Linked DNA regions of Arabidopsis thaliana. The protein of the gene in region 2 purifies or fractionates together with the protein of the main gene of each other region. This does not show direct contact. Each region holds a gene or a part of one and is shown on either strand. Other genes may lie near its edges. The genes, in order: ABH1 and AT4G22285.

Region 1 (8,603 bases), on a different chromosome or scaffold from region 2:
TGAAAAATTACCAGAATGTTGTTGCTATTATAACAAAAATTGATACTCATTGTAGTAACCGGCTACTTGAGTCTTGAGCATTATGTTTGTCTTCAACTTCTTAGTATAATAAATTTCTTACAATAAATTAATATTGTTACTCATAAGCAGACAATTTTATAGTACGGTTGCTCAATTGTGCTCAAATCGGAACATGCAGTTCCCTTTTTGGTAAATGAAATGCTTTCGATATTTGCGTAGGCCACTCTGAGAAACGAGCTCCAGAAACAAGACTGGTGTTAAAAGTTTAAACTCTTGTTTTTTGACTCTTTTCAATTTCCTAATAACTTGATGTCAGAATCAGAATCTCATAACAAAAAACAAAAGAGACAGGTTTGATTGAGATTGAAAGAGGAAGATTAATGTAATGGGAATTGAAGTGCAGAAGATATGGCTTGGAGAAAGAGAGGATGCACATCTTCACCCGAGAACACTTCTGACTCCAACTTCTCCATGTGAGGCCATATCTACAAGAACATGGTGAAACAAGTCAATATTCAATCTACTAAAGCTCTTACAACAACATCCCAACTATTAAGTTATTTTTTACCTCGCTCGCATATTGCCTTGTAAATGCCGTGAGATAGCCAAGTGTTGATAAGCACCACTGTTCTCTCTCACCGACTTCGCAACTCTTCTTTGGGTTTCCATTCTCGCTGTCCACGTCCATCGCAGATGGCTTGTCATCTTCAGCACCTATAGATTTTAGATCCTGCACTGATCTCACTTTAGTTGGATCTGGGAGCCGTTCCTTCAGTACACCTAAGAAACTTTGGAACAGCAAGAGCAGTAAAACCTATGCACAAGTCAACTCAATTAGCTTTTAGTAGATAAAAGGAAATAATAAGATCATGTGCTGCATTAAACTAATATATAATACCTCGGTCTCAGAGAGAGCTCTGTTAAGAAGAGCCTCTTTTGCCTCTAGGGACTCCCGAAGAGATAACTCCGCTTCCCCTGTCTTCTCCACTGTTGATTTTAAACGCTTCATCTTCGCTGGATTCTCACCAAGAACGGGTTCACCTTCCACTAGGGAAAGTTTGCTCTCAGCAGCCTCCAACTCTACTCGTGCATTGGCTGAAGCTTTCTCAGCAACCAAAACATTTTTCGTAATGTTTGATATATCTTTCCTCAAATCAGAGATACGGTTATAAGTCTTGTTAAGAGCATTGCCAAGTATCTGCAGAGACAGAAACAGATTTACGAAGATAAACAAACTTGCTCTGCAGAGTGTAGAAAATAAATATACTTCTGTTAAAACGCAACTGACCTCCCATGGCTGATCAGACACATGAAACTGATCAACATTTTCTGGAGAGAACACCCATCTAACAATTGCCTGATTAGATACTAGTCTATAACCCATCATCCTATCAATTGCCACCGCCGTCATTTGTACATTGTTTTTCCAGTATGTACTCACTTGAGATAATAGCATCACCTGCTTATCGTTATCAGGACAAAGCTTTGAAAATACTTGGCCATATCGCTCCAGGACAGTGACCAAATGAGTGAAACTTTTTGATCCGATGTCAAGTAAGGTCTGTACAACTATTGTAAGAGTAACTTCAAAACCATGAACTGGATATATCGTTTCTTCAATCCACACTATCATGTCACGTGCGGTTTGTTTTTCCTTGACCTTCCTGCTCAATTCGGCTGACAATTGCTGTTCTTCTGTTTTCTCTTTACCTTCTTCCAAGGAATACATAAAATTCGGACCAGCTTTTGGAGGAAGTAATTCTTCTAGGGCAGTCGCATTCTCAATGCTCTGTTAGACACACATAGAAAAAACAATATAGCCTGAGGAAGGATATCTGATGCTTAAGTTTGGAATGATATATCCATGTGGATAACAAGATGAAACATTGATCCCCCACAAAATGGAATAAGACAAATAACCCTAGGCTAAGAGAAAAGTATATCTGATGCTTAAGTTTGGCAGCTATTAGGATATCTGACGATCTGTTACCTGCTTAATTTTATCCCAGTAAGACAAGCGTACTTCTCTTTGCAAAATCTCCTGAACAAATACACGCTTAGGGGCCCACTTGGGAAGATCCAACACAAAAGCCCACTCTTCCCACGGCCAGATGAATTGGAAGTTGGATCTGTTAAGCATGGAGTTATCAACATGAGAGTAGAGAGCAAAACGAAATACGTAATCAACTTCATGTGATGAATAACATATTTCTCAATTAATCGAGAAAGTAAGACTCAAACACGACCACTGTATCATGTAAACGAATCGTCAGTAATGCTGACTGAAAATCCATATTTTATGTTTCAATAATCCATATTTTATAAGCTAGGTAACTTTCTAACATATATGGAACATTCACCAAACATTCGACAATAAAGCACCTTTTCCAGATTACAAAAAATCAAGAGGTAAGAAATATGAAATTATATACTTACAAGTGGTGAGAAAACCAGAGGATAAGACGCGTCCTGGATTCCATGTCTAAGTCGGATATTTTCTCAAATAGTGCACGAACAGCGCCAGCAACAACAGCAGGAAAGGCACCCGGAAGAGCCTAAATTAATTGAATATTTGGAATCAGGTTGAAAAAAGAAATAACAGCAGGGATTTAAAAACCATCGGATGAACAGTATAATCCTTTGTACCTTACAAAGATCCATAATCACGAGTGTATAATAAAGAGTCTTGAATGGTGGCTGGGGTAGCAGCAGTATCTGAAAAACAGTAGATACAATTGTTATATTTAAAAATCACAGATCTTGGAATTAATTGGTATAATCTGCCAGAAACGTATGCTTTTATATTACAACGTGAATACTCACTAGAGAGATAATCCCAAAATTTATACAACAGAAGTTACCTGAGAAAATAGTGTCTCTGCCATAAGATACTCGTACCGAAATGTAACAGGAAGATTAGCCATGTAGGATGCACACTCCTTCCGACTAGCTTTGCAATAAATTAATTAGTGAAACAAAATTCTATATAATTTAAGAAGGCAAACAAAATTTAGTAACCAGAAAGAAAGAGACTTAGCATAAGCTAAGATGTTGATTAGAAAACATGTATATGCTAGGCAAGTCTACAACCATAATAATGACTTAAATAAGTATATGCTAGGTTCAACTAGATACTCAACGCAAAAACACTAGCCCTTAGTAGTAGCCAATTAGTCGCCCAGCTGAATCAGTGACCATATTATTCAAAGAGTAAGTCATGAACTTAGATTAATACACCATACTCTAAGGTTAATAATTTAGAAAACACGTGACTAATTTGCTATGGTTGGGGGACAAAAACCAAGATCTACACCAAAACCAGCATGAATGGACGACCACTGTGCAAGAAAAATATAGAAGAAACATACAAAAACGTCAAAAGAACACAAGCTTTGGGAAAATACACACCATCCATTCAAATAGAAGAGCACATCCAGCAAATACTCCTCCACGACAAAACGATCAATTGGTTGTACATCCTGCGAGTTTGATAGTTACAGAATCAGAAGAAAGGGTAGACAAAGAAAAGGAATACAAAAGGACACCATATAACCCATATATCAATCTACAAATATAATAGGTTAGAAAAAAGAAAAATGTTGACGACTGAAAAGGTAGCAAGTATAATAAGCTTCCATTAGCATGAAATATGTCCTATTCAGATAAACAATGACATCAAAAACCAGAATATTACCTCCATTTTATTAGCTGGAAATATATTCAACCTACGAATTCTCTGGGGATATCTCGTCAATGCATCATGCTTTTGCTTGCCACTGTATGCCCTCGAATGATCAGAAGGTGGACTCGGTTGTTCCATACATTTAATGGGACGTAGCTCATGAAACTTTCCAGCAACGAGTTGAGCTTCAAACGAGAGATGAGGCCTAGGTACTAGCACATTGAATATGCATGAAATTGTCAATTGTAATATACAACTAATATCTCTAGTCATATGAACTGATCAATTTGTAAGTCAAACAAGGTAGATAAGGATATTAAAAGAGAGGGTTCGTAGAAGATTGCAATCTTGTAATACAAAGAGATATGAGAAGTTGACAAAATAAGCATACCGCTTTCAAGTTTCCATCCATTGGAAGCCAGAGACTGAATTCGATCCAATAGATCCTCCACGAAATCCTAACGAGACACAAATGAGAAAGACGAATGACGCAGACCAAAAGTTATCACACCATGATACAAAATTCAACAGATATCTATCTCAAACAAAAGCAGAAATGAAACGTCACATCCATGCATCTTATTTATACATTTGCCAAGACATCTACCGAAACAAAATCAGAGGGGCAGCTAACACAAAGCAAATACAACAACTTCAAGAATTAAACACTAAAAGGCAAACCTTCTCTGCAAGGCTGCTTTCAAATTCTCCGTTGTGAAAAAAGTTTAACCCAGAGGTGGAAGAATTCTTTCGGATGCTCAAATAAGCTTGTATCCCAACTAACACTCTTTCAATCTCATCAGGAACTTGCTGCAAACCAAAGGGAAATTCAGCGGCCATACAAGTTAAGATAATAGATATGAAAGCAGACTAACAAAGTTGGTTGCAGATCCAACAAGGATGACATCATTATAAAATTGGAAACGCATATCCAGTATTCTAATAGCCTTCAATGTAAATAATTTCTAGAATGTATTTAGTCCAAGAGCAGTACCTCAGCGAGTTCTGATCCTCCCCACGGGAGGCTGGACAAGATGCATATAACGTAAAAGTCAGCTTGTGGCTGCCATGATGGATTTCCTTTCTCTTCATCCACAGTAGTGGCAGCAGATGATAGCAATGTTTCGAAGACGACAATCAAAGAAGCAGGTTGAATAACCTTACTGCACAACTAAAGAACCCAACTAAAACATGTTAGAAAATAGACAAAACATCTCAAAATTTTCACAAATACTGTTCTATATACTTCGCACTTTTATTTTTTAGACGCTTTCTGTGTATTAGAAACATGAACTAACATATTAAATAGACGAAGCAACCATGAAACATGATTAGCAACCATACCAGGGAAGTCATAAAGCGAAGCAATATACGGATACTGTTGCAGTTGCCAGAATCTAAAGCGACCTGGCATGTTTGACCAAGAAAAACAGTCACATTAGAAACAAAAGTAACTGAGAAAACTTATGTTATCAATTTATCCTTGGCCTTTGATGTACAGATTAGATTATTCACCTGGAAATTAGCGTGGACACTTTCTACTAGCTTCTGGACAAAATCTTCATTCTCCAAGTTCAACAAACCAATCTTAAACATGTGGAAAGACATCCATCAAACTTCGAAGTATGTGTATCAGATTAAATCGAACTAATTTATAACAGGGAACAGGGTATCTCAGTTCAAAAATAGATCCAAATGCTACTTACACAGATAAGAATTATACACAGAAAATATTCAAGCATTCTTTATTACTCAGAAGTTAGCAAATATTGATGAATACTATGAATAAATAGATTCCTACAACATGTTATATATGATATAATAGACACAAAATGATCCACCTTAAGGGCATTTCCACTATTATTTGTGTTTCTGAAGTGTTCATTTGTTTCAAGTTAAATGCCTTCCGTTATTGCTTCGAGCTAATTATTCTTCGATAAGAATCAGTTCACAGATACCATAACATACTCAATCAAAACCTCCACATATATAACACATCTAAATGCAAGCCCAACATCCAACACATACCCAGAAATGAAAAAGCCAAGGTAACTAGTTTATAAGAGACTTACCAAAGTCCCATACAAAGGAATCTTATGAGGCAATTGTTCAGCACATTGTAGTAGAAACTGTTAAGACGAAAACAAAAATAATGAGAACACACAATAATAATATCCACAGAGATACATCACAACAGATCCTAAAATTGAAGGCTCGAAGTCACTTACAGGCAAAACTTGATCTCCAGAACGCTCGATTTCTCTACGAATGACACCGAAACAAGTCTCCTGTATATAGAGAATCGGAAAAGTTTTGAGTAGTGAGAAAATTAGGGTTTAAGAGCGAGGATGAATCGAGAGAGAGATACTGACGATGTGGTCTTTGTAGTCGGAGGAAGTGCCGTACTCAGGTCCCTTTTCGCCGATGCGAAGGAGAAGAGTTTTCCAATTGCTCATCTTCTTCCGAGAGGTTTTTCTTCAGTTCGTCTCTTTGTTGTTTCTCCTTTGGTATCAGTCACTCTGCCCTAGTTTTTTTTTTTATGTCCGTGTCTCGTCAAAACTAATTTTTTTTTTTTTTTCTCATAAGTGTTGTCATCTAAGAAAAGGAGTTCACAAAAAGAGTTTGACAAAAAGTTTTTCTCTCTCTTCTTTCTCTTAGTAGCTGAAACTAGCCGTTAAAACAATAGTCGTCCCAGTTAATTTGGAGCCTAAAGACTTTTCTCTCAGGTGTTCTATTCTGAACGGAGCTTCTACCAGAAATATTTACGTGTTCGGTCCGGTCTAAATTGTTGTTTTCTTCCTCGGATTTTTGGTAGTTCTGACTCTTTCTCTGTTACGAGAGTTTGCTTTGTGATTCTCAGTTCTGTGTTGGTTATCATCTGAATTACTCGGATTTCTTCACTGTTTTTTCTCTTGGAGTTTGTTTCCTGCAAATCAGGTTTGACGAGTTCGGGAAAGTTGTTTACTCTCTATCAGGATCTCATCATGGAGCTGGATAAAGCCATTCAGAATATGTCGATTTAAGACAATAAGCCTCTGATTCTTTCTGATCAACCGCGCTTTTGTTCAATTAACAGAAACAACTGTCGTTAGTTGGGTAGGTTTTTGAATCTAGAGAATCAAAGGATGTCTAATTGGATATTAGATATGCCACGAATTTGGAGAATTTCTTCTCGGGTTAGAGGTGTTGCTCTCTCAAAGGATCGATTCCAATTTTTCTTCAAATCTGAGGAAGATTTAGAAGAAATTATGAAAATTGGAGTTTGGACAGAAGATAAATTGGGGTGTAGTCATGGATAGATGGATTGAGAATCCTCCAATTGATTATCTGAATTTTCTTCCAATCTGGGGTCGAGTGAGGAATATTTCGGTGAACTATTATACTCAGGACACAATTAAAGAGATCACGAGCTGTATTGGGGAAGTGAAGGAGGTGGTGATGGACTCTGAAAAATCACAGTTTCAGGACTATGTTCGTGTTCGGGTTTTGTTTCATGTCGCCAATCCACTTCGTAACAATAAAGAGGTACAACTTCCATCTGGTGAAGTTGTCACAATTTCTTTTGACTATGAACAGATTAGAAAGAGATGTTTCTTGTGTCAAAGATTAACTCATGATAAAAATAGATGCCCATCCAAAGTCTTAGATTCCATCAAACATGATGTGAGATCATTACAAGAGAAAGGCAAACAGAAGAAGATGTTTTTACCGAGGCTGGCTGAGTTTCCCTTTCAGTCAATTGCTCCCAAAGGAAGGGTAGATGCTTTGCCAGCAAATCCTCTATCAGCTACTGTTGCAATTGATAGTCATCCAGAGAATACTTTGTTAGCTGAGATGCTAGATTTGGACATTAGTACTGGATTTACCACATGTGTTGGTGAGGCTAGTTCCTCCACTTCAGGGTTTAAACATCATATAATGCAGGATTTCACTCCTTTTCAGTTCAGGAAAGAAAAACTAGTTAATGAGCTGTCTCTGAAGAATAAGGTTATTCAGTCTCCTGCCTCTCCTCATTTTGAAAAGGTGTTCAAAAGGAAAAGAAAACCCTCAGACATTACAGAAGCTCAAAGTTTCAAGAGAGACAAGAATACGGTGGTTCCAAGTGAACCACCGTTGGATCAGTAAGGCGTCCTTAGTTGGAATTGTCAAGGCTTGAGGAATCCTTGGACAATTCGACACCTTAAGGAGATGAAAAAAAATCATATCTCGGACATTTTATTCTTCATGGAGACTATGAATCCTGACGAGTTTGTTTCAAAAGTTATTGATTGGCTTGGTTATAACTATATGTATACAATAGAACCTCAAGGGAGAAGTGGTGGCTTAGCAATCTTTTGGAAAAGCCATTTGGACATTGAGATTCTTTTTGATGATAAACATCTTTTGGATCTTCAGTGTTCTTCTAGAAATAAAGTATGCTTTGTTTCTTGTGTTTATGGGCATCTGGTGACATATCTTAGGCCTTAGGTTTGGGATAAGTTGTGTAGTCTTGGATCACATCGGAAGCAAGCTTGGTGTATGATAGGTGACTTCAATGATATTAAGTCGAAAACGGGAAAGAGAGGGGTCCGAGAAGAGTACCTTCTTCGTTTCAATCTTTTCAAGACATGTTGAATACTTGTGATATGCATGAACTAGGTAGTACAAGCAATGGCTTTACTTGGGGAGGGACTAGAAATGGTCAATGGATTCAGTGTAGATTGGATAGATGCTTTGGGAATTCCTCTTGGTTTTCTTTGTTTCCAAATTCTCACCAGTGGTTTCTGAGAGATTTGGATCTGACCATCGTCCTGTTTTAGTCAAGTTTATTAATGATAACGAGTTGTTTCGTGGACAGTTTTGTTATGACAAAAGAATAGCTGATGATCCTTCTTGTATTCAAGTGATTTCCAACTCTTGG
Region 2 (7,466 bases):
TGAAATTAGACCATTTATAATTCGACAAATTGGAGTCACGGGTATTTTTGTATTGTCGATTGGATTACAGTCGTCAACAGCTAGCTTAATGCGTTGGACAGACCATTTATATTGTCTGAATTAACAATGTTGATGTAGATATGGTAGTGTGGTCACTGGTGTGTCTTTTATTTGCTGGAAATGTTAAAACTTTTGTTATGTTTTTGTAGGTTGTGACATGTGGAAGCATTCCTTTGGAATCTTCGTTCCAAAGAACACCAAGATGCGTTTATGTATCCACGGAGTTGTATGAATACAAAGGTTTTGGTGGGAAATCCGCAAACCCAAAACATCGATGCTTTTCTTGGGGATCTAGACATGCAGAGGTTAGTTTCTTTTTCTCCTCTTGCAAAAGGACCATTTGTCTCAGTGATTTGGTCAAAGTTTTCAGATCTTATATGACAAGAAAAGATGGTGAAGTTTGATGATTCTTGTTGTGGTTATATTTCTTTGGCAGAAATATGTGTCGGATTTTTACATCTCGGATTTCCAATCTGGATTGCGAGCACTAGTAAAAGCAGGATATGGATCAAAAGTTTCTCCTTTTGTCAAACCGGCGACAGTGGCTAATGTAACAACGCAGAACAAAGATTTATCTCCCAGCTTCTTAAAGTGGCTGTCAGATCGCAACCTCTCAGCTGATGACCGTGTTATGCGTCTCAAAGAAGGGTATGTTATATTCAACACGCATCTTAAACTGTTCTTCGGGTTGCACGAAGTATCTTAGCCAAAATCTAAAAATAACGTTATTAGAGTCACTATCCAAACCTTGGATCCTTATTTTACCCAAATTACAACCTTTTAAACCCTGATTTCTTTAGTAGAATGGGAAGTATTAAACTGTTGATGTAGGCGTTTACTTTGACTGGTACCGTTGGTTATTCTTCCACATTAAAAGTCACAGTAATGGAAAAAGATGTGATGAGACATGTATTGTAGGAAGAAATCCAGCAACTATTGTCAACGTTAACGGCTTAAACATCTCACATCAGTGCATGATAAGTCTGAAGTTAAAGGGCTTAGAAGTTTGAATTAAGTCTAAAGCTAATGAGACCCAAAAGTCACCGTTTCTAGTACAAATGATCGTTTTTAGTACACAAGAAAGCTCATTGGTTTCACTTTTGCTGTCAAAGAGAATCCCTTTGTTACTGATTTAAAATCATATTTGATTGTGTGTGATGCAACAGATACATAAAAGAAGGAAGCACAGTGAGCGTGATGGGGATGGTAAGAAGGCACGACAACGTTCTGATGATAGTTCCTCCGGCAGAAGCAGTCTCCAGTGGGTGCCGGTGGTGGCACTGCCTCTTCCCAACCTACGCAGATGGCTTAATCATAACCTGCGACGATAATCAAAACGCTGATGTCATTCCTGTCTGAAACCAATATGTATGTAATGCTTCTTTTGCCCGATATTCAAATATAAAAATGCTTAAACAGTTAGGCTCACGAGACTGAAGGAAGGAAGAGAAGAGAAGAGAAGAGAGGGAATGAGAGGACAGCCAAATTGGTTCAAAAAGAAAACCAAATAGGCTTTGCCTTTTACCTTATTAGCTTTTGTTTTTCTTTCTTAATTCTGTTTTTTTTTTTTGCCCCTTGTATGGGGTTTATGTTTGTGTACATAGAGCCCCAAAGTGTAAATGCTCTTTTCTGTTAAAATAATTATTATGTCCTATCCACTATTCTTATCCACCAAGGAAACCTTAGGCATCTCTGCAATAGGTGCATGCAATGTTGTGCTAGTAAACAAGTAAGCATGAAAGCCGCAGAGAAGCTGATGACAACAAAGCCCATGTAGAAGCCTTTGATTGGTTTCCATAGTGGAAACTTAAAACTTAAAGCCCAAATGTGGAAAATAAAAGACAGCCCAAAACTTACCCATTTAATTTACGGTCTCTCACTCTGCTTGTGAATAGCGAAAACACAAAACCCCAAACTCTCTCTACGAAGGCGGATGCACGCTTCTCTGTCTCCCTCCACTCTCGAGTCTCGTCCCCTCTGGTCAGTTTTATGCTCACCGTATGACCGATTAATATCGATTATTGGTTGATCTCATCCCCCTTATAGGCTCACATGTTTTGATAGTAATGAATTGAATTATCAATTATGGGTTTGGGATTGAATTCTTTGTTTTTTTAGTAAAGCACAACACTTTATGTTAGATTCTCTATCTGCTTTCATTGATGTTAGCTGATGGGTTTGTCCAAATTTCACTCTTTTTTTGTTATGTAATGAAATTGAGAATTATGGTTCTGAGCTAGGATCCATCCTTTCTTTGTAAAGGAGTGTACTTTATCTTAGATTCTGCATTGATTTCAGCTGGTTGGTTTGTCCAAGTTTCATTCTTTTTCTGATGGAAGTATCTTTTCAGTTTTACTCATGTTTACTTATCTCACAGTGGCTTTTTTGTTTTGTTTGCAGTGTGTGATTATCTTCTTTGGTGTTGTTGATGCTGGAGATCTCTTATTCAGATTGATCACGCCTGAAAGGTTTATTAGGATTTGGCAAAAGGATGGATAGAATCAACGGTCTATCAGATCTCTTCTGATTTGAATTCTAGGGCGTTTGTTTGGAAGAATCATTGCTTCTTTGGTTGAGGATCTTTGTGAAACGCTGGGATTTTGTGTTCTAGACTTCTAGGGTTTTTGAAGCAAGCTGTAGCATAAGGAAAATTTTGAGAATGAAAGGTGAAAGAGAAGTTAAGAATGGTGTTTCTGAGGAAGAGAGAGAAGTGAAGAGGAAGAGAGTGATGGAACGGTCTGATTCACCACCTCCACCACTAGGTTTCAACAATCCTCTTCTGCCGTTGGCTAATACTTACGATGATGATGATGAGGAAGAGGAGAACGAGCAGAAGAAATCGCAAGCTCGTGGTAATGGAGTTGCGAAAGGGGAGGGAAATGGTAACAAAGTGAAAGGAGAAGCTCAAGAAGAGGTCGATGACGACGAAGATGATGATGTCTCGAAGGGTAAGGGAAAGCATTCACGCCATGTTGAAGTTCGCCGTGATTGTCCTTATCTTGATACCGTTAATCGTCAGGTAATTAATTTCTTGATTGTAATCTTTGATCAATGGTTATGTTTCTGCTGTCTTCATTGTATAATCGTTTTTGGTGTTGAGTATCTAAACTCATGTTGTATGTTGAATTTCAGGTGTTGGATTTTGATTTTGAGAGGTTTTGCTCTGTGTCCTTGTCAAATCTGAATGTGTATGCGTGTCTTGTTTGTGGGAAGTACTTCCAAGGAAGAAGCCAGAAGTCTCATGCTTATACACATAGCTTGGAAGCAGGACACCACGTTTACATCAATCTTCTGACAGAGAAGGTTTATTGTCTTCCTGATAGTTACGAGATCAATGACCCTTCTTTGGATGACATTCGCCATGTTTTAAACCCAAGGTATATTAGATCTTGTGACTACTACTTCATAGTTCTTACTGCATTTTGTGTATTGATTTGTGAACATGTGAGCCTTTGCACGTAGTTAACAACAACAAAATTGCTTTGACTATTATCTCAATCAGTTTCTTCTTGCTAGTTCTCTGTATCATCTACCATCTATTTATATTTTTATTCTTGATAGCTTGAACATATTACTCTTCTTTCATGTCTTGTCAAATTTTCTTTGATTTTACAGTTCCTTTTTATGAAGGCTTCGGTGTTATCCATTTACAGGTTTAGTAGAGCACAAGTAAACGAGCTTGACAAGAATAGGCAGTGGTCTAGGGCTCTTGATGGCTCCGACTATCTTCCAGGAATGGTAATCCTTTCTCTTTGATTACACTTGATCTTGAAATTAATGTCTCCTAAAGGTTAAGCTTGTAAATATGTAGGTGGGGTTGAACAACATACAAAAGACAGAGTTTGTGAATGTTACAATCCAGTCGTTGATGAGAGTTACTCCTCTAAGGAATTTCTTCCTCATTCCTGAAAATTATCAGCACTGCAAGTCTCCTCTTGTTCACCGTTTTGGGGAACTAACTCGCAAGATTTGGCATGCTCGAAACTTTAAAGGACAAGTCTGACTCAATTTATGCCTCTCACTTTTAGTTTTTGTTATGCCCTCACCTGTTGAGGACCTCGCTAATTTAAGTCACCTTGCATCAACAGGTGAGTCCACATGAATTCTTGCAAGCTGTCATGAAAGCCAGCAAGAAACGGTTTAGGATTGGCCAACAATCAGATCCAGTAGAGTTTATGTCGTGGCTCCTCAACACTTTGCACATGGATCTTAGAACTTCAAAGGACGCCAGCAGTATCATCCACAAGTGCTTCCAGGTATGTGTCAGTCCTTTGACATGTCAACCTAAATGCAGTTTGATATAATTGCTTACAAAAAGCTGCATCTTCATGTAACCTTCTAACCATTATAGGGTGAGTTGGAGGTTGTGAAAGAGTTTCAAGGCAATGAAAACAAAGAAATCTCCAGGATGTCTTTTCTGATGCTCGGTCTAGATTTGCCACCGCCTCCTCTTTTCAAAGATGTCATGGAGAAAAACATTATTCCGCAGGTATATGGCTATTTCAAATCTTGAACGTCTTGCTACTCTGTGCCATTTGAAAAATGCATTTCAGTAAGGGGAACATTTTGATCAATAAGATAACGTGAAGTGCTAGAAAACTTATAATTCTCAATATAATAATGTCACATTTGGTTGAGATACAATAAAGGGATTCTTAAATAGTGCCATTGCAAATTTACTGTCCTGGAGTAAACTGTCTTTTTCGAATCTAGTTTATGACTTGGGAAAGTGTAGAATTCTCTGAGTCCTTGGTTGTTTGGAGCTCCTGTAGCCTTTATGGCTTGCTACCTCGTATATGCGTCTTAGAGTGTTTAGTTTGCAAAGTGAGGTTAGCAGAAACTAATTTCTTTGATGTTTGGGTCAGGTTGCTCTATTTGATTTATTGAAGAAGTTTGATGGAGAAACTGTGACAGAGGTGGTTCGGCCTAAGCTGGCCAGAATGAGATACCGTGTAATCAAATCTCCTCGTTACTTGATGTTCCATATGGTTCGGTTCAAGAAGAATAACTTCTTCAAAGAGAAGAACCCTACCTTGGGTGAGTCTATTTGGAATTTTTGTGACGTTCATGTTGTATAAGGATCCCTAATGCCAATTTTTTCCTATGCCACAGTTAACTTCCCAGTGAAGGACATGGAGCTGAGGGATTACATACCATCATTGCCTAGAGCACCAGAAGGCGAGAATGTGTGTTCAAAGTATAATCTAATCGCTAACATTGTACATGATGGTAAGCCTGAGGACGGATACTTCAGAGTCTTTGTGCAGCGCAAGTCACAAGAACTATGGTAAGCTTTCTCAATCATTAACTATTATTGTGTTTCATGTTCACAAATGCATGATCTAGATCTGTGCATAAGAAAGACATAAATTCATTTGGGGGATAATGTCCATTGCAGGTACGAGATGCAGGATCTTCATGTTGCAGAGACACTTCCCCAGATGGTAGAACTATCGGAAGCATACATGCAGATATATGAGCAGGAGGAGGAATAGAGCACTGGAAACAAACTGACTCCATCTGGTTTTAAGAGTAAAAGTGACCAGTTTAATCTTGGATTGAGGAGGAATGAGATTAGAACTCAAAAAGGGGATTCTTGAACCTCTTTTTTAAGGATAGAGAGAGAGCCTGTTGTTGCTAGTGATTCATCATAATGAAAAACCTTGGTAAAAAAACGCATATTGTATGAGTTTTGGGAAGAGCTTTTGGTAAAAAGTCTTCAAATTCTGCAACTTTTGAAATTTTGTAGTAAAATACACATTTGACTTTTGAGTTTCCATTTCCAAAAAATATCTTAAAAAGAAGTGTGTGTTTTTCTAATTTATTTGTATCTTAATACACAACCTCTCAGCCGATGACCGTGTCATGCGTCTCAAAGAAGGGTATGCTATATTCAACACGCATCTTAAACTGTTATTCGGGTTGCACCAAGTATCTTAGCCAAAATCTAAAAAGAACCTTCTATTAGAGTCACTATCCAAACCTTGGATCATTATTTTACCCAAATTAGATACTATCTTTAATAGTATATAGACTGGTTTATGTATACACTATCAATCTTTAAACCCTGAGTACTTCAGTAGAATGGGAAGTATTAGACTGTTGATGTAGGCGTTTATTTTGACTGGTATCATTGGATTTTCTTCCACAGTAATGGAAAAGGATGTGATGACTGATGAGACATGTATTGTGGGAAGAAATCCAGCAACTATTGTCAACGTTAACGGCTTAAATATCTCACATCAGTGCATGATAAGTCTGAAGTTAAAGGTGCAATGTTGTGCTAGTAAACAACAAAGCCCATGTAGAAGCCTTTGATTGGTTTCCATAGTGGAAACTTAAATCTTAAAGCCCAAAAGTGGAAAATAAAAGACAGCCCAAAACTTACCCATTTAATGTGAAAAGTGAAAACACAAAACCCCAAACTCTCTCTACGAAGGCGGATGCACGCTTCTCTGTCTCCCTCCACTCTCGAGTCTCGTCCCCTCTGGTCAGTTTTATGCTCACCGTATGACTGATATGGTTGGTGTTTGCATTGAATTATCAAGTATTGGTTGATCTCATCCCCCTTATAGGCTCACATGTTTTGATAGTAGTGAATTGAATTATCAATTATGGGTTTGGGAGAGAATTCTTTGGTTTTTTAGTAAAGCTCAACACATTATTTTAGATTCTGCATCTGCTTCCATTGATGTTAGCTGATGTGTTTGTCCAAATTTCACTCTTTTTTTTTTTACTGTAATGAATTGAGAATTATGGTTCTGAGCTAGGATCCATCCTTTCTTTGTAAAGGAGTGTACTTTATCTTAGATTCTGCATTGATTTCAGCTGGTTGGTTTGTCCAAGTTTCATTCTTTTTCTGATGGCAGTATCTTTTCAGTTTTACTCATGTTTACTTATCTCACAGTGGCTTTTTTGTTTTGTTTTGTTTTGTTTTGTTTTGTTTGCAGTGTGTGATTATCTTCTTTGGTGTTGTTGATGCTGGAGATCTCTTATTCAGATTGATCACGCCTGAAAGGTTTATTAGGATTTGGCAAAGGATGGATAGGATCAACGGTCTATCAGATGATATTATTTGCCACATTCTATCTCTCCTTTCGTTCAAAGAGGCCACCTCTACATCTGTCCTCTCAATGCGATGGCGTTATTTGTTTGCCTTCAGACCAAATCTCTGTTTAGATGATCAAGAAGTGGGTGGAGGAGACAGTTTCATCGATTTTGTGGACAGAGTATTGGTTGTGACAGGTAATTTCCCCATAAGGAGAATCTCAATAAAATGTCGTATGAGTATCGACACCGGTCATGTCACCCGCTGGATGGTTGACGTGCTGGAACATGGTGTCTCATATCTTGATATTGACATAATTTCCGAAGACGACATCGGTTTCGTGCCTCTTGAGATCTTC

What was found.
Region 1: the proteins of AT4G22285 (region 2) and ABH1 fractionate together in Arabidopsis thaliana (co-fractionation; one large-scale study listed by BioGRID). This does not show direct contact.

What each region holds. Positions count from the first base shown.
Region 1 is NC_003071.7:5,634,609-5,643,211, reverse strand, and holds ABH1 (ARM repeat superfamily protein), read right to left. Parts: upstream 6,329-8,603; 5' UTR 6,160-6,328; coding exon 6,076-6,159; intron 5,992-6,075; coding exon 5,932-5,991; intron 5,833-5,931; coding exon 5,776-5,832; intron 5,291-5,775; coding exon 5,219-5,290; intron 5,111-5,218; coding exon 5,048-5,110; intron 4,875-5,047; coding exon 4,698-4,874; intron 4,514-4,697; coding exon 4,385-4,513; intron 4,162-4,384; coding exon 4,095-4,161; intron 3,916-4,094; coding exon 3,716-3,915; intron 3,501-3,715; coding exon 3,430-3,500; intron 2,968-3,429; coding exon 2,883-2,967; intron 2,737-2,882; coding exon 2,668-2,736; intron 2,577-2,667; coding exon 2,458-2,576; intron 2,151-2,457; coding exon 2,012-2,150; intron 1,811-2,011; coding exon 1,310-1,810; intron 1,220-1,309; coding exon 920-1,219; intron 836-919; coding exon 590-835; intron 507-589; coding exon 399-506; 3' UTR 146-398; downstream 1-145. Other genes in the region: AT2G13542 (defensin-like protein), read left to right, coding at 1-43. UniProt on the Arabidopsis thaliana protein: Component of the cap-binding complex (CBC), which binds cotranscriptionally to the 5'-cap of pre-mRNAs and is involved in various processes such as pre-mRNA splicing and RNA-mediated gene silencing (RNAi) by microRNAs (miRNAs).
Region 2 is NC_003075.7:11,777,152-11,784,617, reverse strand, and holds AT4G22285 (Ubiquitin C-terminal hydrolases superfamily protein), read left to right. Parts: upstream 1-1,922; 5' UTR 1,923-2,040; intron 2,041-2,460; 5' UTR 2,461-2,719; coding exon 2,720-3,079; intron 3,080-3,192; coding exon 3,193-3,437; intron 3,438-3,713; coding exon 3,714-3,798; intron 3,799-3,871; coding exon 3,872-4,057; intron 4,058-4,148; coding exon 4,149-4,316; intron 4,317-4,411; coding exon 4,412-4,549; intron 4,550-4,925; coding exon 4,926-5,097; intron 5,098-5,172; coding exon 5,173-5,347; intron 5,348-5,458; coding exon 5,459-5,555; 3' UTR 5,556-5,869; downstream 5,870-7,466. Other genes in the region: AT4G22290 (Ubiquitin-specific protease family C19-related protein), read left to right, coding at 210-365, 497-708, 1,227-1,419; AT4G22280 (F-box/RNI-like superfamily protein), read left to right, coding at 7,101-7,466.